Linked DNA regions of Macaca fascicularis. The protein of the gene in region 3 interacts with the protein of the main gene of each other region in a pairwise test. Links are inferred from orthologs where the notes say so. Each region holds a gene or a part of one and is shown on either strand. Other genes may lie near its edges.

What was found.
Region 1: the proteins of FATE1 (region 3) and SYNPR interact in binary tests that used the Homo sapiens proteins (3 or more experiments, as listed by UniProt). The link is inferred for Macaca fascicularis from reciprocal best matches to the Homo sapiens genes FATE1 and SYNPR.
Region 2: the proteins of FATE1 (region 3) and SMIM14 interact in binary tests that used the Homo sapiens proteins (3 or more experiments, as listed by UniProt). The two-hybrid records come from large-scale screens. The link is inferred for Macaca fascicularis from reciprocal best matches to the Homo sapiens genes FATE1 and SMIM14.
Region 4: the proteins of FATE1 (region 3) and CD79A interact in binary tests that used the Homo sapiens proteins (3 or more experiments, as listed by UniProt). The two-hybrid records come from large-scale screens. The link is inferred for Macaca fascicularis from reciprocal best matches to the Homo sapiens genes FATE1 and CD79A.
Region 5: the proteins of FATE1 (region 3) and KCNS2 interact in binary tests that used the Homo sapiens proteins (3 or more experiments, as listed by UniProt). The two-hybrid records come from large-scale screens. The link is inferred for Macaca fascicularis from reciprocal best matches to the Homo sapiens genes FATE1 and KCNS2.
Region 6: the proteins of FATE1 (region 3) and SLC7A1 interact in binary tests that used the Homo sapiens proteins (3 or more experiments, as listed by UniProt). The two-hybrid records come from large-scale screens. The link is inferred for Macaca fascicularis from reciprocal best matches to the Homo sapiens genes FATE1 and SLC7A1.
Region 7: the proteins of FATE1 (region 3) and SLC38A1 interact in binary tests that used the Homo sapiens proteins (3 or more experiments, as listed by UniProt). The two-hybrid records come from large-scale screens. The link is inferred for Macaca fascicularis from reciprocal best matches to the Homo sapiens genes FATE1 and SLC38A1.

The regions. Positions count from the first base shown.
Region 1 is NC_088376.1:126,378,346-126,382,685, reverse strand, and holds the start of SYNPR (synaptoporin), read right to left. Parts: upstream 2,862-4,340; 5' UTR 2,641-2,861; coding exon 2,623-2,640; intron 2,493-2,622; coding exon 2,427-2,492; intron 1-2,426. UniProt on the Homo sapiens protein: Intrinsic membrane protein of small synaptic vesicles. Probable vesicular channel protein.
Region 2 is NC_088379.1:38,849,636-38,853,212, reverse strand, and holds part of SMIM14 (small integral membrane protein 14), read left to right. Parts: intron 1-1,866; coding exon 1,867-2,009; intron 2,010-3,577.
Region 3 is NC_088395.1:157,778,759-157,783,020, reverse strand, and holds the start of FATE1 (fetal and adult testis-expressed transcript protein), read right to left. Parts: upstream 2,870-4,262; 5' UTR 1,900-2,869; coding exon 1,794-1,899; intron 752-1,793; coding exon 624-751; intron 1-623. UniProt on the Homo sapiens protein: Involved in the regulation of endoplasmic reticulum (ER)-mitochondria coupling. Negatively regulates the ER-mitochondria distance and Ca(2+) transfer from ER to mitochondria possibly implicating it in the regulation of apoptosis.
Region 4 is NC_088393.1:48,916,680-48,920,758, reverse strand, and holds the start of CD79A (B-cell antigen receptor complex-associated protein alpha chain), read right to left. Parts: upstream 2,832-4,079; 5' UTR 2,807-2,831; coding exon 2,728-2,806; intron 2,336-2,727; exon of another isoform or gene 611-2,335; coding exon 314-610; intron 70-313; coding exon 1-69. UniProt on the Homo sapiens protein: Required in cooperation with CD79B for initiation of the signal transduction cascade activated by binding of antigen to the B-cell antigen receptor complex (BCR) which leads to internalization of the complex, trafficking to late endosomes and antigen presentation.
Region 5 is NC_088382.1:108,072,123-108,076,295, reverse strand, and holds the start of KCNS2 (delayed-rectifier potassium channel regulatory subunit KCNS2), read right to left. Parts: upstream 2,841-4,173; 5' UTR 2,833-2,840; coding exon of another isoform or gene 2,827-2,832; 5' UTR 2,791-2,826; coding exon 1,357-2,790; 3' UTR 1-1,356. Other genes in the region: uncharacterized protein, read right to left, coding at 2,827-2,832, 3,445-4,173. UniProt on the Homo sapiens protein: Potassium channel regulatory subunit that modulate the delayed rectifier voltage-gated potassium channel activity of KCNB1 and KCNB2 by altering their kinetics, expression levels, and shifting the half-inactivation potential to more polarized values.
Region 6 is NC_088391.1:9,369,756-9,373,332, forward strand, and holds part of SLC7A1 (high affinity cationic amino acid transporter 1), read right to left. Parts: intron 3,264-3,577; 5' UTR 3,250-3,263; coding exon 2,880-3,249; intron 14-2,879; coding exon 1-13. UniProt on the Homo sapiens protein: High-affinity, low capacity permease involved in the transport of the cationic amino acids (arginine, lysine and ornithine) in non-hepatic tissues.
Region 7 is NC_088385.1:52,992,527-52,996,753, reverse strand, and holds the start of SLC38A1 (sodium-coupled neutral amino acid symporter 1), read left to right. Parts: upstream 1-1,391; 5' UTR 1,392-1,912; exon of another isoform or gene 1,913-1,917; intron 1,918-4,227. UniProt on the Homo sapiens protein: Symporter that cotransports short-chain neutral amino acids and sodium ions from the extraccellular to the intracellular side of the cell membrane. The transport is elctrogenic, pH dependent and driven by the Na(+) electrochemical gradient.

The DNA.
Region 1 (4,340 bases), on a different chromosome or scaffold from region 3:
GAACCAGTGAGGGAAACAGAGACAAACAGAAGAAATGTTCCGCCATCTATAAGAAATCACATTTCCTCTCATTGTCAATATCTCCCACAGAAAAAGATACCTCAGAGTGACTCCTCAAGCCATTCTGTGCACACAGAATGTATGTTCTTTCTCTCTGTTCACTACTAGCTTTTTCAGCAACTAGTACTCTCTCTCTCCTCATGTCTCTGGCTCAGCTCTTTTAAAACGTAGCTCAACCAACTAACTTATCTGACTTTTAAAATTTGCTTTGTCCATTATTCATGTTCTCTTCCACAAATGAGAGTCTAATTACTGAGGTACAAGCAAAAAGCACTTCCTCCTTGGAGCCTTAGTATCCTAGAAGATAGAGGGGAAGGACTGCAAATAATTTAAATGTAGTACCTTAGAAACCTTTATTCTATTTCACTCTTTCTCTCTCATACACATCTCCTGCACAGACACACACACCTCCTCAGGAGGGGGGAACTATAAAACAGTATTTCGCAGTGTGATAAATTCTTATGAATGAATAAAAATCTAGTGGAAGTTCAAAGAATGAGGTGAATCATTCAGTTTGGGATAGAGGAAAGAGGAGAAAAGGCTTCACTGAGGAGGTAACATTTAGTTGAGGTAAAAGACAAACATTTTTTTAGGCTTGGAAGGTGAGGACATTCCATACAGTGTGAATAGAAATAGCCAGGGCACTGAGGTAAAAGAGGCTTTTAAGTTTTGGAGGGATCTGGTATAGCTTAGAGTGGTGGTTCGCCAATTATAATGTGGATAAGAGTTATACACGGAGCTCATTTAAAATGCAGATTCATGGGCACCCATCTTCCCAATATTTTGATTTGGTGTCCAGAAATCTGTAATTTGAACAAGTTCATCCAGGTAACAAACACCTTTTTATATGCCAGTAGAGACTGTGTGAGGAGCAATGGCACAAAATCATGTTGCCACAGTATTGGAGTGAACACAAACTAGTATCTCAGATAAGTGAGAGTGTGAGACAATAAGAGATTATGTCAGAAAATGATGTCAGGTCTTTGAACTGGGTTTTGAGAGATAATAACTTGACAATGAAGCTATTATTTTCTTCCCTAAAAGCCACTACTTCACAGGAAATATTTATTGAATGACTGAATGAATGAATGTGGGCAGAATTCTGAGAAAGCAAACTGAAAGTTTCCAGAACTGTGAGGATTGCTTGCTCATCTAACTTGACTGTAAGGCAAACAGTTTGAGAATAGCCAGCTCTGAACCACTAATTCAAGCCTTCCAAAAGCTGTCTTTGTGTATGTAAAATTGATATACGCATGCATTTTCATTCAAGTCTACAAACAAGGTAAATGTAATTATCTTGTAGATCATCCTTGTAAACAATCATCACAGTTATGTAGCCACTGCCAGATACAAGCCCTTAGAGCTAAGATCTGGGAACACAGAACAGGCTCTTACATAATTTCCCAGCTAGTCAGTGTTAGGGCCTGTGATTAATGCTACATGACAGGCTTTGAACTTTCTATTCAGATAGGTTTGCTTGCCTTTTGGAGCTCCTAGCAAGACGAAACGTGTGACCTGCAGATTTCACTCTGAATAAGCATCATCCAGCCAACAACACTGACATGGCTCTGTGGCCCTGTGGGTAACCGTTGCTGTGCCTCACTCCTCTGCCCATACACAAATTGCAATAGGAGCGTCAGGGTGGTTTCACAGAAGTAGAATACAACTTCCTGAAGCCCAGTCGCTGAAGAAAGCCATGGCAAACAGGCTGGTGGGCTCTTCTGGGTGTAATCAGAAAAGCCCTAAGGGAGTGGCCAGAGAAAAGAAACTATAGTAGGGAAGAAAGGAGTTCTGCTCTCTACCCGCCGCCGTCTATAACAGTCTGTGACAGCTTCGCAGCATCTTTCCCTTCCTGGAGCTCCCGCGGAGCAATTGAACACGCGCTTCCAGCATCCCAGTCCCGCCGAGGAGCTGTCCCAGTTCTGACCAACTTTCTGAGCTTGGCCAAGTCTTCCCGGCTCCTCCGCTCAGCTATGGGTCTCTCCACCCATCCCCTCATCCCCGCGAAGGTCCAGGTGAGGGGCCAGAGCCCAGCGGCAGCTCCTCCAAGCGTCCCCCTCCCCCATCTCCCAAGGGGGAGGTTTCTTTCCACAGTCCCTGCTCGTCTGCAAGCGGTGAGGTGAGACGACACTTGTCTAAGCGCCTGCAAAAATGCGTCCACACTCCCGCCTCCAAGCAGAGTGCCTCAATCTTGTCCCCACCGCCTTGGAACGGCACCTTAGGAGGGGGCAGGATAGAAATCTCCGGCTTGAGGGTTGACTCTCCGGCTTGGAGCAGAACGGAGCAGGGAGCACCCCATGCGACCTCTCCTCACCTGATGGCTCGCTGCCTGGCGCCCCTCCCTGTACGCACACACTGCTACTCACCAATTCCAGGGCTCGCAGGAAGGCAAGGGGCTCCTTCAGCACCCGGAAGGTGCCCGCAGAGGCCAGCTTTGGGGGAACGAGGCGAGAGAGAGAAAGCAAAGCGTGAGGAAGGGGCTGGGGGTGCCTCTCCCAAGCCGCGGCACCCCCCGCCCCCCGCCCCGCTCCCAGCCAGCCGCCCTGCCCAGTTCTGTCTCACCTGACTCACAGGGTCCATAGCTCGCCCTCGCTCGCTCTTCTCATCCACCAGTTCTTTTTAAAAAGGAAGTTCGCTTGGCACCACCGTCCTCAGGGCCAGAAGCCCCTTCGGGAGCAGCCAGAGGAGCGACACCTTGGAGCAGCCCGGCGAGGGCAGGGGGCCTCGGGAAGCCCACTCGCTAACGCTGGGCTCTGCGCTCCGGGAACCCAGAGCGTCGGGGAGGCGAGGCGAGGCGAGTCAGCGAGGGGTGGGCAGGGAAGAGCTGGGGCAGGGTAGAGACAACAGGGGAGGGGGAAACCCATGCAGCCAGGAGAAGGCTGTCATTGGCCAGCGGCGCGCCAGAGGGGAGGGCGAGGAGGTGGGCGAGGCAGGGCCCACAGGCATTGGTGCAGGCTCAGCCGTGCGCCCGGTGCCCTCTGGCTCCGGGGAAACTTTAGGTCTGTTGGTTTGGGAAAGCGGGCTTGGCACGATCAGCAAAACAGCTGTCCACCTGAAGAAGGGGTTTCCAGGTAGGAGGAAGACACCCACACCTTACATGGGACGTCTGTGTGAGTTCTGATGACTTCCGAACAGGAAAATAATAATAATGATAAATACCTAAAAATAAAAAATAACTATTTGTTGACTCTTTCATTCCTTCGAGCCTTTATAGAGCATCCTTCCTGTGGGCAGGCAGTGCTTAGGTGCTGGAGTACATCAAAAAAACAGGATAAGCATTGCCACTTCCCCCAGGGGAAGCAGAAGGGGAAGCAAAACTTGCAATGTGGTCTGGACAGTGATGCAGAGCAGAGCACAGGGGCCATGGGCACAGGGCAGGGGATCCATCTTGGCCTGTGGATGCCAGGGCAGAGGACCAGGACAGAGGAAACTGCCTAGAGAGAAGAGATGGAAACAAATTAATCTTGAATGTGGGACCATGTGCCAGTGGAAAACAGATTTAGCAAGGATGAACTGGCCAAGGTGAAACATCTCATGAAAGGCTAAACAGGGAATGAAATTTAGGTACCTTTCAAACTCATTTTATTTCTGCTGAGATCTTTTGCCTGAGATCTGACCCCCAAATGAACTTCCCCACCAAACTTTTAACTCTGGGTCTCTCCTCCAAAGTTAGACTGTTTTCTTGAAACTTAGTGAAAGGTGGTTCATGTTGTTTCCTCTTAGTGGGCTAATCTTGCTGATTATAATAAAAACAACAACAACCGAACAACTGAGTTCTTTCTATGAGCTGAAAACTGTGCTAAGGGCTTTACAAACATTACTTCATTAAATATTTACAAACCCCCATAAGTTAATAATACTATTATTCCCATTTTAGAGATGAGGAAATTGAGGCCCATGGAAGGAAAGTGGCCTGCCCAAGGTTGCCCAGCGAGCAGGTAGTGAAGTCAGAATTGATTTTTTTTAAATCAGAAAAAGAAAAGAAGAAGAAGGGGAAAAAGGAAGAGGAAGAGGAGGAAGAAGAAGAGAAGGAGGAGAGAGAGGAGAGTTCTTAGCTACTACCTCAAGTAGTGATATGTCCTCTTCCTTCTCACTCCCTTTGGACTGGATTCCATTTATGAGTGGTCTCCCAGCAACACAGATAGTCCATCTGTTTACTACAAAGATTTGCCAAAAAGGTTTGGAGTTCGTGTGTGTGTGTGTGTGTGTGTGTGTGTGTGTGTGTGTGTGTTGGGGGACAGGTATTTGATATGTAGAAGTAGATGAGAAATACAGAAATC
Region 2 (3,577 bases), on a different chromosome or scaffold from region 3:
TGATCTCCTGACTTCGTGATCCGCCTGTCTCGGCCTCCCAAAGTGCTGGGATTACAGGCTTGAGCCACCGCGCCCGGCCGGATTTTCCTTTTCTTTCCCCTCAGAGATGGGGTTTCACCATATTGCCCAGGCTGGTCTCGAATTCCTGAGCTCAGGCAATATGCCCATCTTGGCTTCCCAAAATGCTGGGATAATAGGCGTGAGTCACCGCATCCGGCCATTTGTATTTCTGAAAATTGAGTTCTCTAATATACTTCAATAAAAAATCTATGTTTCATTTATTAGAAATTTGTTAACCTCATATCAGGCACTGTGCTAGGCACTTGTTATTTCAAATTAAATAAGACATGGCTATGTCAAGGAGCCAGGAAAAACTGATACCTGTATACTTACATACATCCCTGTCTAGCTTTTTCCTCATGATAAATAGAAGACAAAAAATTGATAGAAGATAAAAACTGATTAAATTTTAAAATATCTAGACCTGAATTCAACTTCTTTGTGTGAAAAAGAAGGCCAAAGTCATCTCTTTGGTTGAGACTGTAATTAAAGGGATCTTTTAATGTATATATTATGCAGCCCGGATGTTCCCTTTCTTTTTCATGATGCCTCTGTAATTAAGATGCAGATTTCCCCCCAAAGGAGAGTGTTTTTTCTGTGGTCTTAACTCAGATTCATAGATCTCAGCAAATCTATGGATTCGTGGCTTTGTGGGTCCTTAAACCTTCCACAATTATATGCAAAATTGTGGAATTTGGTATACATGAGTGCTTTTCATATTTATTTTTAATCCAGAATGGATCAAAAAGAACAATCATGAAGGATGTAGGTGCCAGACACAGGGCAGAGGTAGCTAGAAAAGTAGATCTTAGGGAAGTTAGGGCCCCTAGCCTCACTAATCTACAAACATGGCATGGCCAGCTTGCCTTGCAAGGCCTCTGTTGAAGGACCCCATGAATTCTTAAAATAGAGTTCTTAATTTTTATCAAATTCTCAAATGATTCTGTTACCCCAAAATATTAAGAATTAGTGTACTATTAAAAAATTTATTAGAGACTAGTCCAAGCAACATAGTGAGACGTCATCACTACTAAAAATTTAAAAAAAAAAAATTAGGGGTGTGGGGCTGGACACAGTGGCTCACACCTGTAATCCGAGCACTTTGGGAGGCCAAGGCGGGTGGATCACCTAAGGTCAGGAGTTCAAGACCAGCCTGGCCAACATGGTGAACCCCTGTCTCTACTAGAAATACAAAAATTAGCTGGGCGTGGTGGCACATGCCTGTAATCCCAGCTACTCAGGAGACTGAGGCAGAATTGCTTGATCCTGGGAGGTGGAGGTTGCAGTGAGCCAAGATCATCCCACTGTACTCTGGCCTTGGCAACAGAGTGAGACTCCATCTAAAAAAAAAAACAAACAATTGTTAGAAACCAGCCCAGGCAACACAGTGTTTCTCCTAAAAACAAAAATTAAAAATTTGGGGCATGGGGCATGGTGGCACACACCTGTAGTCCCAGCTACTCAGGAGGCTGAGGTGAGAGGATCCCATGAGCATAGAAGTTTAAGGCTGTAGTGGGCTACGATTGAGCCACCGCACTCCAGCCTGTTTGATAGAGCAAGACCCCATCTCAAAAAATGAAAACAACAAAAACTTACTAGGTTTTGGTTTATGACTATTTAACATCATTTACTTTTTAGATGTTCTCACTGGAGGAAAGGGAAATTGAAGGTATAATATGTACTTCTTTAATTTATCAATACAATTTTTATATTAACACAATATTTGAAACTGACATTTAAACATTAGAATTTATTTTTTACTTTTAACAATGTTGTGAGCATGCTACATTTTTTGTTTGTCTTTAGTACCAGGACCCTCTGGTGATAATGGCATCAGTGTTACTATGATCTTAGTGGCCTGGATGGTTATTGCATTGATCTTGTTCTTACTGAGACCTCCGAATCTAAGAGGATCCAACCTACCTGGAAAGCCAACCAGTCCTCATAATGTAAGTATTGCACATTTTAAATGCTTTTTGGGTAAGGGAATGTATGTGACCTGGGGCAGGGAAGGACTTGGTTTTGACTAAAATACCTATATTAGTTAAATTACATTTAACTCATAGAGTATTCTACCTATGTAGTTCTATTAAATCTTGCAATTCCAAGATTTAATTGATGGCTTAATCTTTGTGGAGTTAAATGCAGAAAGAAGCACAGACCAGAAGCCGAAAATTAATTTGAAAATGAATTCCAATTTTTTTGTTGTTGTTGTTCAGACAGGGTCTTGCTCAGCTGCCCAGGCTGGAGTGCATTGGTGCGATCTTAGCTCACTGTAGCCTCTACCTCCCAGGCTCAGGTGATCCTCCCACCTCACCCTTCTGAGTAGCTGGGACCACAGGCATGCACTAGCACACTTGGCTAGTTTTTTGTATTTTTTTTTTGTAGAGATGGGGTTTTGCCAGGTTGCCCAGGCTTGAATTCCAATCTTTACTCGCATGAGAAGCATTATGAAATAATCCATTTCATAATCCACAGCAATATTGCTTAAATCTCAATCCTCCACTACTCAGTTCTGTCCACCTCACAGTTGATCCCTTGCCTCTCATGCTTCTAGCCTCTAAACTCTTAGTAGCTTCAGCTCAAATGTTTGACCCCCTTCTGTCCTAGCTATTCAGTAGAGACACTGAGCCTGTCTGATTTTATTTTCCTCATTTTCCCATCCTATTTCTCTCAAACCCATTTTCCATTTCTGTACCACAACAAATCAACTGAGCTGGCAAAAGGAGAGGTCAGAATCATTCATGTTGATAAATCTTGATAGTCATGATTACAACCATTTTTAGAACCTTCTAAATTAAAACTGTGATAAAGTGACCCAACAGGGAGTTTTCAGTACTATCTTTAATAGAAACTCTGTTGGCCAGGCGCAGTGGCTCACACCTGCAATCCCAGCACTTTGGGAGGCCAAGGCGGGCAGATCGCCTGATCTCAGGTGTTCAAGACCACCCTGGGCAACATGGTAAAACCCCGTCTCTACTAAAATACAAAAAATTAACCGGACATGGTACCCTGGGCAACATGGTGAAACCCCGTCTCTACTAAAATACAAAAAATTAGCCGGACATGGTGGTGTGCGCCTATAGTCCCAGCTACTCAGGAAGCTGAGGCTTGAGAATCGTTTGAGCTCAGGAGGCAGAGGTTGCAGTGAGCCAAGATCACACCACCACACTCCAGCTTGGGCTACAGAGTGAGATTGTGTCTCAAAAAAAAAAAAAGAACCTCTGTTAAAGGATTCCTTTTAATCCTTTTCAGAACCAGTATTTATGTGTGTGTTTTTTTTAACATTGAATTTGAATATTATCTCTTTAAAAATATTTCCATGAGGCTGGGCACGGTGGCTCACGCCTGTAAGCCCAGCACTTTGGGAGGCCGAGATGGGCAGATCACCTGAGTTTAGGAGTTCGAGACTATCCTGGCCAACATGGTGAAACCCTGTTTCTACTAAAAATACGAAAATTAGCTGGGCATGGTGGTGGGCGCCTGTAATCCCAGCTACTTGGGAGGCTAAGGCAAG
Region 3 (4,262 bases):
CAGTTGCATGATCTCAGCTCACTGCAACCTCTGCTTGCTAGGTTCAAGCGATTCTCATGCCTCAGCCTCCTGAGTAGCTGTGATTACAGGCATGTGCCACCATGCCCAGCTAATTTTTGTATTTTTAGTAGAGACAAGGTTTCACCATGCTGGCCAGACTGTTCTCCAACTCCTGGCCTCAAGTGATCCGTCCACCTCTTCCTGCCAGAGTGCTCAGATTACAGGCATGAGCCACCATGCCAGACGACTTGACTGGATTTCTTAACAGCCAGAAAGCGTAGGAGCCTCACCTGAGTTATTGTGTGTATACACACACACGCACCACACACACAATTTTAAATACAGGAAGCGTTATTTCACACAATGGATTTACAGAGTGAAATATTTATGTACTCCCCATGCAATATTTGTTTCAGGCATTCTGAACTCCCAAGGTTGCATCCCAAGCATAGGAAAGGATGACCCTGACCTTTCTGTCCTCATTTGCCAGCTTGGAATACAGGAGCTTCCTCCTCCTCACAAGTCAATGTCTAGCCCTGCCTGACCTGGTCAGGCTACAGCCCCTACAACCAGTACTCCCAACCCCAACCTGGCCAACATGTGCTGAGGACCCCATGCAGTACCATTTTCTTGGATCGGGTGGCAGTCATATTCCAAACTCGTTTCGCTGAAGCAGAGCCAGCAGCTTTTTGTTCCAACTTCTGCCTCTTCTGGGAGGCACCCAGGGACCGAGATCCATGCTCCATCATTTCTAGAGAGAAGAACAGAGACCCCAGGAGCACCCATAGAAGTTGTACCAGGGCTTCTTGGGCACAAAACACACCAAAAAGAAGACAGAGTCCCCAGCTTTCTTGGGAATCACTCAGCACCCATTAACCACTGTCCACCAGCTGATCCCAGGTCTCAGTTTGTTCATCTGTTCAAAAGTTAAACAAGAATCCTGAGGGCTCAGCTCGAGACTAGGTTACTCTCCAGTAATCTAGAGAGCAATGACCAAGAACAAGATTCCAGCTATCAAGGAACTGACCATCTGTTTTGTGTATAAGAGTGAATGACAGGTGTAAAACAGAAGGTCTATCCTTGCAAATGCAGACAGAGAGATGCAGGCTCCATAAATGATCAAAACAGGGTAACATAGTGGAAGGAAAGGGCTCCTTCTAGAAAAGTAGGAGACAACAATTGAGGCAGGGACCTGAAAAAAATAAAGGACCCAGCCCTGGGAAATTGAGGGAAAGAGCATTCCAGACAGAGGAAACAGCAAATGCAAGGTCTTTGGGGAAGAAGCAGGCTTGGAGCATTGTAAGAACAAACATAAATGCAATGTGATCTGGATCCCTTTGTGTGCTATAGAAATGGTATTTTCTGTCTATATCATAGTATGAAATGTTTTGAGGAGGCTGATACAATCTTATAGATCATGGAGTCTGGATTTTCCTCCAAATGGCAGGAAAATGAATTCGAGGGTTGGGAGAGAGAATTGATCTCTGGTCTCATAATTTGAGCCCTCTGAGTATTTTGCAACAGACACTGTGGTGGCTTGGACAAGGGGAAGACAGAGGGACCACACATGTTGTTCCCATCCTCCTCCCTCCCAGGGCAAAATGCTCACATCATCTATCCCTTTTCTCCTAGATCCCTTACCATCAACCCACAAATCCTCAAAGCCCGCCCAACACACAGATGTGCAAACACTTCCATGCACACATGCACCTTTCCCAACACACACATGCACAGGTACAGACATGTATCTACACAGTTGGCTGTAGCCTAGGGGTATTTTAGGGGATCCTCACCCGCTATCACCAGGTGCTCTTGGTTTTGCCCTTGGCGTCCATGATTCAATTCTTCTGTCAGGGACATTTCCATCTCTGCCTTGGTGTTGGGAGGGCCTCCTGCCATCACAACCAGCTGTTCACTTGTAAGCTATGGCTAAGGATGTACAGGGTGCCAGGAACAGAGGAGTCACACTCAGAAAATCACCTCTTCCTGGAACAGGAGCTCAAGGAAGATATAGTCAGACCTGGGGGTGGAGCAAGACTCCCTCTCTAGGCTGAGGCCTTGGACTCAGCACTTTCTGTTTCTATTGTATCTTGTTGGCTAGGTCCGTGGCCTTCTCCTTGCTACTCTGTAAGCAACTTAGGAGAAGAGATACAATTCCATGCCTTTGACTGTGAGAACTGCTCTGGCTCATGAATCTCCATATTTAGCCCATGGGGGGAAGGGTAGGGTCTACCCTCCATCATTTCTATGAAGAAACAGGGATTGGCACAGGGTCCAAGAGCCAGGCAGTGGCTACAGCAGAGTTAGGTCCTAGCAATCCAGGCCATACCACACCTTCAGAAGAGATTCTCTGGAGAGCATATCCTACCTCCCCCATCCAGAGTCCCCAGACATGGGAGGTAGCCTTTTTCTGAAGTAGGTCAGACTAGGCAGGAGCCATGAGAACAAAGGGAGAGAAGGGTAAGAGAGGTGGGACCTGACTGCAGCCACTAGAACTCCCAGGGGCCTCAGGCCTTGCACCTTCTAAGTCCCAATTCTCCCTCAGTTTCCCTACTGATTAGACCACTGTGATGGTCAGGTTTATGTGTCACCTGGCCAGGTTCTAGTCCCCAGTGACTCCTTCAAACACTAGTCTAGGTGTTGCTGTGGAGGCATTTTGTAGCTGTGGTTGGCATCTACAACCAGTGGACTTGAAGTAAAGTAGAGACACATCCTCGATGATGTGGGTTGGTCTCACACAATCAACTGAGAGGCCTGAAGAGCAAAGACTGAGGTTTCCCAAAGTAGAGGTAATTCTACCCCAGGACTGCAGTGTCAACTCTTCTTTGAGTTGCCAGCCTGCCAGGCTGCCCTGCACATTTCAGACTTGTCAGCCCCACAATTGCATAAGTCAATTTATTAAAATAAATGTATATATACTTGTGCATATGCAGATATATACATATATACATACATACATATATACATCCTATCAGTTATGTTTCTCTGGAAAACACTGATTGCTACACGACCTGTGGTGAACCCTTCATTCTAGGAAACAACCCCAGAGCCCCTGGGGGAATAGGAGGCTATTTGTGAAAGGAATCAGGACAGGTTTATAAAACGTTCCTTTTAGAAATAGCCTCTTCTTCCCCCAGAGCCCTTGGGTCAGGTGGGATAAAGAGGAGGAAGGAAGGAGGAAAAGAGGAAGGGAGGAAGGAAGGAAGGAAGGAAGGAAGGAAGGAAGGAAGGAAGGAAGGAAGGAAGGAAAAGAGGAAGGGAGGAAGGAAGGAAGGAAAGAAGGAAGGAGGAAAAGAGGAAGGAAGGAAGGAAGGAAGGAAGGAAGGAAGGAAGGAAGGAAGGAAGGAAGGAAGGAAGGAAGGAGAGGGAGTGCAAAGGAAGGGGTCAGAACTAGCTGAGATAGGGCAGCATGGTCTGAGGCTGCCTGTCCCCTGCCCCCACCTCACCTGTCCAGCGCTGGGGCCGAGCTCTTGGGAAGCAGAGCTGATATAGGCCCTGCCTGCATTCCTGGGGGCCCCAAAGAAGCCCTTCCCAGATCTAGTGGAGCAGCTGCGATGAAATTTGAGCTTTCTGGAGGGCCACCTTGGGAGCAGAGAAACTACTGAGTGTGCTCAGCTTAGTGGGATTCAGGAGCCTGGGAAGCCCAGCCAAGGTTGCCAGATTGAGCAAATGAAAATACAGATACGAAGTACATTTAAATTTCAGATAAACAACACATCTGTACTTATACTACATTTGTAGTGTAAGTATTCTCTCTTGTACACTAACCTTTGGGACATATTTACACTAAAAAAAGGATTCATGGGTTGATCTAACATTGAAATTTAGCTGCATATCCTGTATTCTATCTGACAATCTTATCTCACTATGACCTCAAGATTTTACCTCGAGCAAGTTTCTCCCTTCTTTTGGTGTCAGTCTCCACCATGGACAAGCCTCCCTACAGGGTGGCTGGATTGTGAGGAGCACTCAGAAGTCAGCAAAGCTACAGTAGTGTAGGCACTGGCTTGCCACAGGGCCTCAGGCTATGGAGGCCAGATTTCTGTCTAGTTATCAACTGACCCTGGTGGGGCTTCTTGGGCACAGGAGCACAGGGTCCAGGTGCATGTGGAGGCACTGCCCCCTGGTGGCATAAGAATCCACCACCTAAAGCCAAGCAAAGAGGGTGGGAGAATTCCTTCCCAACCCCTGAACCCCCAAGGCCACTCAGAAACCCCAACATCTCACCCCCTTAGCGTGCCTTCCCCGCTTGGATTGAGTGC
Region 4 (4,079 bases), on a different chromosome or scaffold from region 3:
TGCCCTCGGCTGTGATGATTCGGTTCTTGGTGCCCTCCCCCATGTCCAGGAAGGGCCTGGGGGGCGGATCTGCAAGGGGGTGGTGTGGCTCAGAGCCCTGGCACCTCCTGTTCTCCCTAGCCTCCTGGACCCGCCACCCCCTGCAAGGCCCCAGACCCCTCAGAGCCCCGACTCTGCAGAGGAGAACTTCAGTCCCTCTGTCCAAGCCAGTTTGAAACCCACAATGAAAGTACTGGCTCTATCCCCACTTCAAAGAGAAACCGAGTGTCCCCAGTGGGAAAGTGGGAGTAGGGACCAGGGCTGGGCCACTCACGGCGCACACGGAGGTAGGTGCCGCAGGACTGCTGGTGTGGCTTATTGCCCTCCTGGACCCGGCACAGGTATATGCCCCCGTGGCTCTTGTTCACGTTCTGGATGGTCAGCGTACCATTGTAGCCCTGGCCCTTGCCCACGAACTGAGGGGGCCACGTGTAGTTGCCATGGAGGACGCGCCACCAGGTGACGTTGGCGTTGCTGCCATTGTGCAGGCATTGGAAGTGGGCCTCTTCCCCCAGGCTCACCATCAATGATGTTGGGCCCCCATCTACCCACAGGGCCTGGCACCCAGGACCTGTGGAGAGGCAGGGTGGGTGGGTCAGGGACTAGGGATGGCGACACATGCCCCCAGCCCTGGCCCCTGCAGCTCCAGCACTCCTGGGAAGAGGGTGAGGACATGCCTGGGTGAGGAGGGGAGGAGGGTGAGGACATGCCTGGGTGGGGGGGGAGAAGGGTGAGGACTCTCCTGGGTGGGGGGGGAGGAGGGTGAGGACTCTCCTGGGTGGGGGGGGAGGAGGGTGAGGACTCTCCTGGGTGGGGGGGAGGAGGGTGAGTACTCTCCTGGGTGGGAGGGGAAGAGGGTGAGGACTCTCCTGGGTGGGGGGGGAGGAGGGTGAGGACTATTCTGGGTGGGGAGGGGAGGAGGGTGAGGACTCTCCTGGGTGGGGGGGAGGAGGGTGAGGACTCTCCTGGGTGGGGGGGAGGAGGGTGAGTACTCTCCTGGGTGGGAGGGGAAGAGGGTGAGGACTCTCCTGGGTGGGGGGGGAGGAGGGTGAGGACTATTCTGGGTGGGGAGGGGAGGAGGGTGAGGACTCTCCTGGGTGGGGGGGGAGGAGGGTGAGGACTCTCCTGGGTGGGGGGGGAGGAGGGTGAGGACTATTCTGGGTGGGGAGGGGAGGAGGGTGAGAACTCTCCTGGGTGGGGGGGGAGAGGGACAGCCCCTGACAGGGGCTGATGCATCCTGGGGAGAGGGGGATGCGGGAAAGTGAAGAGGCCCCTGGGGAGGGAGAGAGGACAGAACTGGTTGGGGTGGGTGAGGACATCCTGGAGGAGGAGAATGAGACTCCTTGGGATGGTGAGACCCCTGGGAGGCCCTTCTCACCTCTGCAGCACCATCTCTTGCCCCCCTCCCACATACCCACTTTGTGCTCTGGGCCCTGTGAACTCTCTGGATTTTGGATGTTTGTTCAAGGCACTGGAGGACCGCTGTCCAGACAGCTCCTTCCAGAAGCAGTGCAGGCATCCCCTCCTCCCGCAGCCTTCCCGGTCTATTTTTGCACCCCAGCCTCAGCCAGGCCCTGCACCTGGCGCTTTTTCTTGTGTAATCATTCACAGAACCCTAGAAGTAGGTTATCTCCTTAGCCCCATTTTACAGGAGGGATGGCTGAGGCCCTGGGAGGGCTGGCGGTTTGCCAGCATCACCAGGCAGTCAGGAGTGGCACTGGGTTCAAACTCATGGCTCCCTGGCCTCTCCCTGCCTGGGCTGAGGAGCCAGTCTGTGGCCTGCCCTGGCCTGTGACCCTGTGCCTGGCCCTCATTCTCTGTAAGTTGTATGTGTCAACCTAGGGGTCAGGGGTGAGTTCAGTCCTCGGGCTGGATTGCTGGTGAGCGAAGGGGGTCAGAGTGGGGTGGAGACTGGGGGTGTCTCTGAGTGAGACCGGGCTGCTCAGGCTGGCTGCAGTGTCCAATCTGGGCTCCTCTGGGAAGTCCCAGCTCTCAGCCAGGCCTCCCGCATGGCCGGCCCCCTCTTCTGGAGGTAGGCGGAGGAGGGAAGTGAGGAAGAGAGAAGGAGGAAGAGGTGGGGAGAGGGGCCGAGCACCCTTATCATCATGGGCTTAAGACTCAGACGTGAGCTCCAATCCTTGCTCCCAGTGTCCGCTTGGGTGGGGAACCTTCTTCTCTGAACTCCTGGGTTAGCGTGGCCACAGCCCCTGCCAGCTGTCCTTGAGCGGGTGAGGAGGAATCTATGAGACATCTGTTCCCCCAGTGCTCAGAAGGGACTCCCAACACAGAGAGGCACCTGAGGTTTAAGGCAGATAAAGCTTTTTCTCCCCTTGACAGACGCTGAATGCTACTACCCTCAAGTCCCCTTCCTGTCCCCAGCCCTCGTGCTCAGTCAAGAGCAACTTTAGTTCCTTATTTTGGCCTGTGGGGAGCAGGAGGTGGGGGAGGTGACTCTTGCTCCTGCCTGCCTCCGTGAGGCTGTGGACGCCCCTTCTTCACTGGGCTCCCTCCAGCCCCACATTGGCCCAGCTTGGCACAGATACGATTTCTATAGGCATCTTCCCTGGCTCCCCTACCCTCTGCCTCCTCTTCCCCTTTCCCTGAGCCCCCTTCCCTCTGCCTGTGCCCACTCTGCAGCCTCCACATCTTCCCCCACCTCCCACCAGTTCCTGCCCTTTGGCCACATACCCAGGTAGGCAGCAGACAGCAGGAAGAAGAGGAAGATGGTGGCAGGCAGAGCTTGGAGGACTCCTGGACCCCCAGGCATCTTCTCCTAGTGGGTTGGTTAGTTTGAGTTGCAGCAGTCCCCGGGTACCAGATCCCTACCCCAAACCCCACCCTACTTCCTGCCCAGCCCCCCGGAGATGGGCTCCAGTGGCCCTCGCTGCTGGGCCCTTTACTTGTTGGGCCTGGGGACAGCCCCTGCCGGGTAGGCTTCAGGCTGTGAGTGGAGAGGAACTGCTCCCTGCACCTGTGGTGGCCACAATTCCCCTGAGAGGTGGCTGCTTGGGTGGGGGAAGAGGCTGGTTCAAGGGCTGGCTCGTCACTGCTGAGCCTTTGGAAGGAAGCCTAGGGAACCTGAGTCCTGGGCATGTGCTGTGGGCAGGTGATGGTTCTGAGCTTGACCTCTGCCCCTGCCTGGACTTGGGGAAACCTTGTCCCTTCCCTGACCCCATTTCCTTGCTTCTTGATTAGAAACAAGGACTTAAAAGGGGTTGTTGCATGCACAGAAATGGCCCATAGTAGGCGCTCAGTAAATGTTAGTCACTATAAATGCTCATGAAGAATAAATAAGGCAGGCTGACCTGTGGCTGAGTGCCCGTGTGACTAGGTGGGCACTTTTATCCTTTGAACCTTGACATTTTTCATCTGTGAGATGAGGACCAGAATGTCTCCCTGTCTCATTATGTGATATGAGATGGTGTTTCTGGTATTCCAGGAGTTAGAGCCACGATCAGCTCTTTACTGGAATTCTTTGTTAAAAAACAGGCCAGGTATGGTGGCTCACGCTCAGGCCAGGTATGGTGGCAGGAGGTGGGGAGAGATGTGGAGGCTGCAGAGAGGGCACAGGCAGAGGGAAGGGGGCTCAGGGAAAGGGAAGAGGAGGCAGAGGGTAGGGGAGCCAGGAAAGATGCCTATAGAAATCGTATCTGTGCCAAGCTGGGCCAATGTGGGGCTGTAGGGAGCCCAGCGAAGGAGAAGGGGCGTCTACAGCCTCACGGAGGCAGGCAGGAGCAAGAGTCACTTTGAGAGGCTGAGGTGGGAGAATCACCTGAAGTCAAGAGTTTGAGACCAGCCTGGCCAACATGGTGAAACCCCATCTCTATTAAAAATACAAAAATTGGCCGGGCGCGGTGGCTCAAGCCTGTAATCCCAGCACTTTGGGAGGCCGAGACGGGCGGATCACGAGGTCAGGAGATCGAGACCATCCTGGCTAACACAGTGAAACCCCGTCTCTACTAAAAAATACAAAAAAAAACTAGCCGGGCGAGGTGGCGGGCGCCTGTAGTCCCAGCTACTCGGGAGGCTGAGGCAGGAGA
Region 5 (4,173 bases), on a different chromosome or scaffold from region 3:
TTTATTTTACAACTCTTTCCTTTCTCCTGGCCTCTACCCACTCACCCTCAATGAAAGGCAGTTGGAATGCAAGTAAGAACTGCAGCATTTCCATCCTGGGTAAGCCACACCACCTTCATGCACATCTATATTTTGAGTACATGCTTCCATACCACCAGGTTTCCATGTCATGGCAGGAACTCCAGGGAAAACATAACATATATACAACATACTATATCTTAGAAGCAAAATTATTTGAGTAAATTCTGCTTAGAAATAAAAGGGCTCTCATTTGATGAGCTTTCAGAGCAGGCAACAAAAGTAAGCTACTGCCCTTGCTAGCAACTCAACAACGTTCACCTCAGGGAGACGATACAACAGTAAACTTCTTTTTAGTTGAGGAAGACAACACAACCTTACTCCTAAACATCTTAAAAAATAAATATTTCAAAAACATGCTAATATCTTAGACGCAGCAAAGTTTGGTCAAATGGTCTAGATCAGAAACCTCATCCAGAAATACATGTCTCTACAGTCACCCTAGCAAACACGGAGGTTTGACCATGAACCAAGGGGCTCAGCCTGCACTGACTTGGCTTTAAGCACCCTAGGGTCTCGACTATTTAGCTGAAGCCCCTCTCCCTAACGCATCTGTCCTTGGAGAAAAAATTCGATCTTCGCTACATGTTTAACTAACATTCTCTAAAGAGTGACATTTATGAGATGAACATCAGTGTACATCGTTCTAAAGATGATAGGTGCACCCATGCAAGCCACGGAACTACAGATCATTTATAAAAACAACTTAAGACTTGCATTGGTCAAGTGTGCTTAACTTTGCATTCTCTTTGTTTTGGTATTAAAACTAAATGAAAGTAATGAATAAAGAGCTGAGATTTTGTTTTCACATGACTGTGAGCAAAAATCTCATGATATCCTTGCTGACCTCATAGATGCATTTCCAGTGGACAGACTTGTGGGGGCTTTTTGTACAGAACTCACACGACAACCTCAGAAACAGGAGCACAACAACTCATAGACAGTACTGGGCCACAAGCACTAGAATAGCGTACACGATGAACAGAAAAATTAGCATTCTGGGTGTACTCATCTGGCAAAAAGGTGAACATTTTATGCCCACGATGCAAAGACCAGTGAGTGTCATTTCATGGAAAGGTGCAAAGGCATGGTGTCAGACACACCACCCTCTAAAAACGATTCTAAATACTGCAAAAGAAACCTGGGTGCATATCCCATGCATCTCTCCCCTCAGGGGCGGGGCATACTCCTTACACCATAACCATAAGGTGCCTGGCTGTGCCAGAGGCACAAGAGGCAGCTCAGCAATGTGGGGTGGAGGGTGACAAGTCCTCCCAGCTAATGTAGTGAATCATTTAAACTGAGTTCACTTGGTGAGCTCCTGCTCATGTTCGTCAGGCTTGCCATGAGGGATTTAACTTTATGGGCATAATAGTCCCTTAAATTGACTGAAGGGACCTCCTTCATTCCATCTCCAAAGTCACAGCTGCGCATGGCACTCTCAAGTTGCTTTTGGCGCCGGTAAAAGTGGGAGAACTTATTGAAGATCAAGGTGATGGGCAGGACCACCACGAGGATGCCTGCCAAGATGCAGGCAGAGGCAGTCAGCTTCCCTGCCGTGGTCCCTGGGACCACATCCCCGTACCCTACTGTGGTCATACTGACAGTAGCCCACCACCAGCAGGCGGGGATGGTGGCCAGGCCCTCGTTCTCCTCCTTTTCAATGGTGTAGGCCACCACGGAGAAGATGGAAATTCCGACGGAGAGGTAGAGCAAGAGCAGCCCTACTTCTTTGTAGCTGTATTTCAAAGTGGCCCCCAGGGAGCGGAGGCCCGTGGAGTGCCTGGCCAGCTTTAAGATGCGGAAGATCCGCATCAGCCTCAGGACCTGGGCCACCCTGCCCAAGTTGGCTAAGGTAGGTGTGCTCTCCACCACCAGGTTCACCACTAGAGTTATGTAAAAGGGGACGATGGACATGAGGTCAATAAGGTTTAGGGCATTCTTGAAGAACTTAAGGAAGTCAGGGGCCACAGCAAACCTGGCCACCAGCTCAAATGTGAACCAGGCGATGCCAAAGTGCTCCACGATTTCGAACCTAGGGTCCTCGCCAGGGTTGCCCTGGCTATCAGGGATTTGGAAGTCAGGCAGGCTATTGAGGCACATGGTGATGATGGACCCCATCACCACCAGAATGGACAGGATGCTGAAGACCCTGCTCAGCACTGAGTAGCCAGGGTTGTCCAGGGCCAGCCACAGCTGCCTGCGGAAGTTGCCAAGGGGCTGCCCATCGAACTTGGAGGCGTCGTTGTAGAAGGCAAGGATCTCATCGAAGGAAGACGTGGTGCTCTCCTGGTCACTCTGCTCGTCCCACTTCTCCTGCTCGGGCTCCACTTTGCGACCATGGTAGCTGTAGCTGCAGCAGGAGTCAATGAAGAACTCGTTGATGCCCCAGTACTCGATCTCCTGGCTGAAGGAGAATACGCACAGCTCAGCCATGACGTGAAGCTTGCCGGTGTGATAGAAATGCAGCACGTAGGGGAAGAGCTCAGGGTTGCGGTCAAAGTAGAACTCCCGCTGGACGTCGTCGTAGTCATCACAGAGCTCCAGAATGGCCTCGCGCGAGTGGCAGAGCAGCAGGCGGCCCAGGCGCGTCTCGGGAAAGCGCAGCAGCGTGTGCGAGCGCAGCCTCCTCTTGAAGCCGCCCACGTTGATGCGGATCTCCCCGTCCTCGACGTTGGCCTCCGACACGTCCCACAGGCTCTGGCCGGTCATGCTGGAGGCACCGGCCGCCCGCGCCGCGCGGGGGCGCTACACCTGGAAGCGGAGGGAACAGCATCGGCAAGAGGGCCGTGCGCCCCGGCCCATCGCCCCCTCTCCCTACCCATTTCTGGCGGGCCCAAGCCTCCTAGGTGGGTCTTGGGTGCTGAAGGGCACTGGGCTGGGGCAAGAGTTTGAGGGGTCTGGCCCCCTCCCAGGAAAGGCTGGGGGTAGGTATGTTTCTATTAGCACGGCTCCACCCCGGGGGTCTCGGTTGGCGCTTTGCGCGTGCAGCGTCGCGTCCCCGCGGCTCTGAGCGCCCAGGGGGCTGCGTGCTGACCTTGTCCATGGGCAGGCCCGGGAGACGCCCCCGCCCGCTCGCCGCAGACAGGAGGGACCAGAGCTGAAATACGCACGGGCAGAGCGGGGCCGACATGGGGGGCGCGTAGCTTTGGGAGGTTGGGGCGGATGCGCTGGAGTCTGGAAACCCGGGCCGGGGAAAGAGCGGGGCGGCCCGGCCTCCCCTGGGTCCAGCTCCCAAGCCTGCAGCCCCCGCGTCCCCGGCCCAGGTCTCACCACCCGCCTGGCGCTATGCCCCAGGGCCGCGTGCGCTGCGCCTCACCCGGCGGGGCTGCCCGGGCTCGCCCTGCGCGTTCTGGAAGCGCTTACCTGGGAACACGGGCGCCCGCGGCCGAGGCCGGCGGGAAACTTCCCCGACCCGCGGGCGAGCATCGCGGCGGTGGCCGCTGCCTGCTGGCGGTGCGTGCGCGGATGCGAGTGTGTGCGCCCGAGTGTGCGCCCGGCGGGCCGGCGGGCGGGGGCCGCCGAGCTTCTCCTCCCGTCTCGGGCCGGGCAAGCCGCCGCCGCCCGCAGCTGCGGAAGGCTCACAGGTGGCTGCGTGGTCCCGCCGCTCGCGGAGCCCCTTCTCCGGATCCGCGCGCCCGTCACCCGCCGAGAGAAGCAGGAGCCCGCGCCGCAGGCGCCCCGTGAACCCGGGCGGGAGCAGAGCGGGTGTGACCGGGCGCAGGCCCTGCGTTGGGCGCGGCGCGGTGGTGCTGAACGGACAGCTCCGCGCGCCTCGGCCGCCGCCCCGGGCTCGGAAGGCGCAGCCGCCGCCGCCGCTGCTTCTCTGCGCTTCCCCGGCGCGTCACCGCGACCACCTTGCGCCCCCGGCTCGGCGCGGGGCCGACACCCCTCCCTCCCCCCCGCCCATCCCCCGGTGACAGCTGTTATTATCACCACCCCCAGGGCGCAGGCAGGGGGCTGCCTACGGTGACCTTTCCCCGCTGGGTCTGGCGGGAGCCGGGCTGGGAAATAAAGGGCGGCTTGCGCGTGTCCGGGGACAGGGCGGGACCGGAGGAACTCCAGGTTTCCCCTTTTAGGGACCTGAAGAAAAGT
Region 6 (3,577 bases), on a different chromosome or scaffold from region 3:
ACGCTTGAAGTACCTGCCCCAAAGCACACACAACAGAGGGGATATGAGGACAACGGTTAGCCAGGTACTTGTAGTGGAGCTCCATGTTCATAACATCATTGCAGGAGTCACTGACAGTGCACTGGAATCTGGCGGCAGCAGCCAGACCACAGCGTATGCTGAGCCAGAAGTGACGGTCAACTAGTGCTAAGTGCGAGAAGGCTTCTAGGGCCCACAGAGGAATGCATTTCACATCCCACCCAATATGCACAGGTGTATTCTATCAAATATACATATCCGAATAAAAACTTTGCAAAACAGCTGTTACCCTTACCACCTGAGAGGCACTCTGATAGTATGCAATGCTACCTATTTTGTTGCATTGAAAAAGTAAACATTGACGACAACTCATGAAAAACTGATTTCATAATGCACTCCCGGGGTGCAGCTGGCAGTCTGCAGGAACCCCGGTCAGGAAGCCCTTTTCTAGGAAACTCTTGGCAGCAGAGATGATGGCGCCTGCACCATAATTCTTCTCCCAGCAAGAAGAGGCGTCCTAGGAGGTCCTTGAAGGGGCTGAACCCCAGCTCAGGGACAAAGCCACTTGCTCACCTCAGAGTAGGCATCAGCCACCTCTGCCACTTTGTGCCTGAACGTGACTCGGAGGCCATGGCATCCCCAGAGTGCGGGACCGCAGACAGACCCCAGCTCTCCTCATTCTCCCCTCAGCCTGCACCCTCCAGCGCTGAAGAACACCAACAGGGCAGCACCCAAAATGCCAACAATAGTTGGCTGCTGTCTTTCACTCTCGTTCTCTCCTCTCATATAATTCTGGAGAGAGTCAGAATGCATTTCCATTGGTGTTTCTCAGGAAATGTCACTAAAATTCCAGTATTTTCATAGAGCATTTTCCTTTGTTTTCAAAGGGGGCCTTGTCGGTGACCATGGTCCCAATTATTCACCGCATACTGCCAGAGTCATCTGCAGAGATTCAATTTCACTACTGGGTCTTATGATAAGTAAGTATCTTTCCAACAACTCAGAAGTTTAACCACATTTCTTCCTCCTGAGCAGCCAATCTATTATGAATTCTGTAAACATGGTCTCACCATCTCCCTGTCACCCCCAAAGCGGCTGGCTCTTGGCAAATGTGGCTCCCAAACCCTGTCCTGCTCGATGAGAGGGGCTACCCCAGCCTTTCTTCCCAGCCTACCCTCTCCCAATTTCTGAATCATGCCTTTAAAAAAAAAAAAAAAATGTTTGCTGGAAAAACTGCCCTTCCCAGCAGCTAAGGCTGCAAATATATTTTCATAATGCATGCAAATGTTCTCCCACAAGCAAATGGCACTCTGGCAGAGCCTTTCATTTGCTGGTCTAGAAGCTGCAAGCAGTTCATGCTCAATGTATATTTTATGCTCAGGTAAATCCTCTGGAAACATAACGGTCCATTTACAATAGCTACATTCCCAGTGAGAGACCTCAGCTTGTGAGAACCATGTGTGGCTGTAAAGTTTTGATGTGGCATTGAAAGAAAACATTATGAATTTTATTTTAGAGCCCAGAAGACTAAGCTAGGTTGGCTCTCAGCAGATACTGCAGCTGCTGGAAAGAAAGCGAAGGTGCCGTTCAGAGAGCGTGAGTGTGTGCCCTCTGCCAGCTGTCCTGGTGAAGGGGGAGTGGTGCCCCCCATGCAGAGATAGGGCTGCGGGGAGCCCAGGGCTGGGACGGTCCCAGCAGGCAGCATGCGTGGCAGGGCGGGTGTGGTAGGGTCTGGTGGGAGCTGGCACAGAAGCAAGGCAGGACCCACATGGCTCGGCTGACCAGGTCTTACTGTTTTCTCGCTATTACCAAAAAATTTGAGAAAAAAAATAAATGGCACATTGAGTGGCCGTGTGCACCCTTTGCTTCTTCTGAGACTTAGGTTTTTGTTTCTTTTAAGTTGACGTGTTCAACTTCAGTTGTAATCAAAATACAAAAAAGCATAAAGGGAAGCAAAGCGTGTTTACCTGGCAAACTGGAAAGATTTTCTACATTTGCTTCTTTATTTCCTGGGTGGTTGTGTTACAGGCCGATGTCCAGTGTCCACACTGCAGGGTAAGGGGGCCCTGGCTACGTGGAGGATCACAGTCAACAAAGGCCTTAAAAACATGCAGACCCACCAAGAGCCATTCTGCTCCTTAGACAGTTTTAAGGAAAAGAATCATGGCTAAGCACAAAAACATAAAGTAAGTAACTGTTTATAACAACAGCAACAACATAATGGAAACAATCTGAACAACCCATAAAGACATCCAATACGTTACACGCTGTGTATAGAAATCTATACAAGGGTAGGCAAGCATTAGAAACGTTACCATGGAAAAATAGCTAATGATATGAGAAGTGTTTACTCTATGTTGTTTTATAAAGAGGTATACTGTACAAAAATATACATTTAAATTCACAAAAATGTTAAAACAATAGTTCTCTCTGTAGACAGTAAACTGCTGAACAGAGTCTTATGCCTTCGTGGGATCCCTAGTATCTAGCACAATGCCCAGCACAGAGCAGGTACTCAATAAACATTTATTAAAAGAATGAATGAATGAATGAATGAATGAATGAATGAATGAATAAGAGAATTAGTTTCTCCACATTGTCAGGCAGGATATTTCTACTTTCTTCTTTGTGCTTTTCTTTATTTTCCCAGTTTTTCTCTATCAGTGATGCATTTACTCTAGTAACTAAAAAACATACTAAAAGAAACTAAATACTTTTAAATGAATCAGAAACATCCTCTTAATTCTGTGCCTCTCTTGTTAACAAGAATGACCTCCCCACGGGGCATCCGCCCACACTTTAGAGGTGGGAACAAACAGAAAAGTGGTAGAGGGCACAAGCTCCGGACCCCCGGTACCTACCGATGATGTAGGAGAGGATTAAGTTCCAGCCGGTGATGAAGGCCCAGAGTTCTCCAACGGTGACATAGCTGTAGAGGTAAGCTGAGCCCGTCTTGGGGACCCGAGCACCAAACTCGCCGTAGCACAGGCCAGCCAGCACCGAGGCCAGCGCAGCAATCAGGAAGGAGATGACAATGGCAGGGCCTGCATTCTCACGGGCCACAGCTCCAGCCAGGACATAGACGCCAGCACCCAGTGTGCTGCCCACCCCGAGGGCCACCAGGTCAAAAGTGTTCAAGCAGCGAGACAGCCGCGTCTCCTCCCGGCTACAGTCCACCACCTTCCGCCGTAGCATCTGCTGGCCAATGTTGAGCAGGACTTTGCACCCCATGTTGCTGTTCAGAGCTGTCGAAAAAGAACAAAGATGTTTCCTGATTGCTCCTCATTTCATTCCATCACTCTCATCTTATCACATTATTGAAACAGACAGTGATCAGGTCCTTCATAATCATTTCCTGCTAAAAGGCTTTAATTCGTAGAATTCCATTGATTGTCAGAAGCACACAGCCTTCTCCAGTTTCACCAGCACATACAGAATTATCCCAGCAGGCCAACAGATACAGCTGACTTCATTTTGAGGTCTCTGAGCTTCCACATTGGTATCAGGTCCTCTTAATGGAGACTCTTCCATGGGTGGAAATTGTGTAGTAGAGGAAACA
Region 7 (4,227 bases), on a different chromosome or scaffold from region 3:
TCTGAACTTTCCATTTCTCAGTATTTCTCAAGAGCATGCCTTCTAAATAGGATTCTCAGGAAGCCGCTATTGAATTAATAAAGGCCATTTACAGCCATTCGAAGGGAATAAGAAGTTTAGTCGGTGATGAGTTACAAATTTGGTTATCATCTCGCTTTTCCAGTGGTGATGAAAAAGCAAAAATCACTCAAATACAATGACTACTGTCTGCTTGAAACGCTCCAGGTAATTTTTGAATTATGATTCACCTTGCCCTTCCTGTTTTGATGAGCCATGAACAGGAGACTGAACCATCCCTGTCAATAAAAAGCTCGCATTTCCACCCTGCAAATTCGCGCTATAATGACAGTGTAATTGGCTGAGGCGCAGGTGGGATTTCCTGTCGCCATTTTAAGACACAACTCTTCTGCAAGGAAGTGCCCAGCCAGTAAAAGGGGGCTGTGTCTGAAACAAAGAGTAAGCGGAGAAAAAAGGGAACCAGGCCCAGTTGCCCCTGTTCCCCTCCATCGCGCTCCCTTGTCCCCAGGACTTGGAGCGCCCCAGCTCAGTTAACCTGGACGCACCAGGTCCTTCGGTCGGAACCACATGGGGTCTCCAGGCCCTCTAAGAGCTGGCCCCCGCCTCTTGCGCCTAGGCCGGTGCTTTCTCGGCGCTCAGCAAATCCTTCTGGTTGCCTCACACCCAGTCCCCAAAGCAGAGCTCCACAGGGCAGATCTCAGGAAGGGCTTGCCAGGTCTGCGGATGCTGGATCCGGAAGAAGGGAGGTGCCTCCCGCTTCAGGATAGGGACAAAGGGTTTCTAAAGGTGCCCGAGCTCCCCGCTCCCCCTGTCGCTTCGTTCCCCTTCCCGCCAACCCGGGCCATCTGCGGGCTGTACCCAGGGCCAACCCTCCGCTCCAAAGCTGCTCGTAGTCCCAGGCGCTCCCCGCTGCTCTCCGGGCTGGGCTCGGACCGGCCACTCCCGCGGCCATCCTCATGCTGCGCCCTTCCCACAATGCAACTCCCTCGCTCCTTCGGCCCCGGCGGGGCTCTGGCGTACCCAAAATGCAGGCCCCAGCGGAACGCACAGCCCTCCTGTCCTCCTCCGGTGCCCCTTTAGCCACCCCACCCCCATCTCTAAGGGCTCTCATTCTCCAGCTGCCGCCGCAGCTGGGTTCCGAACACGCCGCCGGGCCCCGGGAGGGAGAGGGGCAGGTGCCAGGGCGGTGCGCAGCATCCGCTCCCGGTGCCACCTTCAGTGCGGCGGGCACACGCGCGCCCCGCAACCCCTCCCTCACCCTTTCCCCGTTGCTCAATCTCCGCCAGCCGCGGTCGCTGCATCGTCAGAGAGCTGCAAGAGGGAGGCAGCAAGGCGCGGCCGCTAGCAGTGACACCATGTGACCGGCACGGCTCAGTGACACGCAGCTTTGGTTAAAGAGCGGGCGCACAGGAGGGGAGGAGACGGCGCGCGGGACAGGGAGGAATGTCCTGTCCCCCTTAAACCATCACAAGCCATGGTTGCGGAAGGGCCACGCGCCTCCCAGTAGGAGAATGACTCCGATTCGTGACCCTCAGCGCGGGTGCATGTGGATGTAAGTGCGAGGCCGGCGAGCAGAGTGTGAGTGGGGGTTGGTGGTGAGGGGAGATTCTGATGCAATCGGCCCGGAAAGGAGGAGGAGAGACAGGCGAGCGCGGACTGGGGCAGCCACGCCACTCCGCCTGAAGGTCGCCAGGAGCCTCCGCCCTTCACCTTCCTCGGAAATCCGCCAGGCCACGCCAAGCTCCCTGCCCAGCCCTGACTGACGGGAGCCACCTTTTCCCGGCCTCCGCAGCCAGACCTTGACACAAAGGACATCAAACTGCCGAGGGTAAAAACCCCGGAAGGGCGGACACATCCACGTCGCCTTTCGCCACCTTTCCCTTTATCTGCGGAGGTAAGGTGATTATCCGTTCCCTGGGAGGGCTGGGCAAGCGGCGAGGGGATGTTTAGATGTGGGAGGAGGCGGTAACGTAGAAATCATCTCTGCTGGCGTGAAAGCAGAGAGAGCTAGGCTGTGCCGGATGCTTTCGGATGTTGCTTTTAGGAGAGGAAAAGTCCAGGTCTCCTGTGCTTCCCGAACGCATGCGGCAGAGCGAGGAAGCGCCAGGGCCCCCGAGTTCACCTTTGCGTGGGCTGTGGCTTACTTTTTGGTTTGTTTTCCTGTGGCTTTGGTGTGTTTTCCTGTGGCTGTGGCGGAGTGTGGTACCAGATCTGGTTCCATTTTTACGAGGGCCGGGAACCACGCAGGTCTGGAGGGAGAGCGCATCTGACCCGAGGGCGCGACCCTGTTATAGGAGTGTTTGAATCCCCGACCTTTGGGGAAAATTTCCTGTGTCCCCAAGGCCCAGGGGAGATCGTGTGATGTCCTGGGGTGCTGCGTGTGGCCGGCTGGGCAGCCGTGGCGGACCACCAGTAAACCGGGGCACGTTTGCCGTCCTTCCTGGTGCTCTGCCCCTCTGTAACGCGGGGAAGTAGGAGGGCGCGAGGAGAAATTACTAAAGGATGTTTGCAAGTGACTCACTGTCCTTTCCTGCCCTGAAGAGGTTTTTCTAAAATGCAGAGGGTGGCGGGGGACAGGGATAGTGTTTTTTCGAGAGTCGGGATGTGCTGGAGCCAGCGAACAAAAGGCCACCTCTTGCGCGGTCTTGGGCGCTGACTGCTCTCGCTTCCAGTCTTACCTCCTTCCCAACCCCCGACAGCAAGCTCGCGTCCCTAAACATTGCCACAGAGGCCTTTAAATGCGTGGATCGGTGCCGGGAGGAGAGAGCACCTTCGCCCTTGTGCGAGCCCTTTGCCCCCTAAATTACCCACCTCCCGGAGCATGGGGCTCCTCAGTACCGTTGGGATCCGGTAGGTTACCCGGCTGCCTGGGCGCCGATTCCCTGCCAAATCGCCCGCCCGAGGTTTTTGCTGAACTGTAGTCAGTGAAGGCACAAGTGCATATGGCAGCAAAAGGAATTTCGCGGTAACCGCGTCACGCCGCTCCCAGTGCCTTTCACAGGCTGCCTTGGACTGGGGAAGGTGGTGCTACAATTCAGAGTCCTTTGTCTTGCTCTGCGGCGCGGACCCGAGGCTTATACAAACCCTCGTTCTCTGTTAGAAACTAACTGCCGCCAGGATTCGTTTACTTTCTCAGACGAATCCACGGTGATGTATGTAGTAACAGTGAAAAAAGACGCCTCTGCTAGAAAACGGTATTCATTTGCGTTTGGAAGGGGTTTTGACCTCTCTGCAGTGGGTTTTTACATTTTTAAATACAAGGGGGAGGAGGAAAATACATTTATGGTTTGCAGAATGCAGGGCCCAGCGAGGGTGTAATTTGTCACCTTGATAAAAGAAACTGTGCAGCAACTCGTGCTTTTTCTGACGTCAGAAGGACAACGGAAATAAAACCTGAGCTCGGTGCATGGCTGGCCTCGTTGTCAGATACCTCATGCTAGTTTGGTCCTCCCGAAATCTTGCAAAACAGCCAATTCCGGGGTACTGACCTGGTGTGGACCCCCTGGATTTTGGTTCGACCCCAGCCTCAAAATGGCTTTTCTCTTGAGAGTCACTCGAGTTCTCAGTATGTTGCCGCAAGCAATTGGAAACTGGCCTAGTTTGGTTTGAGGTCTTAATCTTGAGATTTATTCGCTTTTTTAAAAAAATGTGGCCAATAAACATTTTCTACAGAGGGTTTACTGTGCGACTGGTAGCAACTAACAAGATTTGTTTCACCTTCTATGAAGCTTCCGTTCTCAGGGGGAAACAGACTATATAAATGTAGGCATATACATTTCGGGTATTCTTAGTGCAATGAAGAAGTAAAACAGGATCATGTGATGGGGGAGGATGCTTGAAATAGAGTGACTCACCGGGAGGGCCAGTGTGAGGGTATAACATTTGTCCTCAGACCCGAATGATGAAAAGGGACCAGCTATTTCTATAATTGAGGGAAGAAGGCCAGCAGAAGGAACAGGAAGAAGGAACAGCAAGTACTTACTGCACTCTTCTTTGACTGTAATATAATTGAACAGAGAGATGAATAGATTTTAAAGGTGTTTTGGATCTTTAAACCTATATGTATGTTGTTTATGTATTTTTTTATGATGCTCCATGAATTAAGGCCGTTTAATGAAAGGAGCACCATGTTTAGGAGTCCTGACATCGGACGGTTGCTACTCTTTTCTTTACTCTGGGTGATGCTTGTGGACAAAAACCGATTTTACT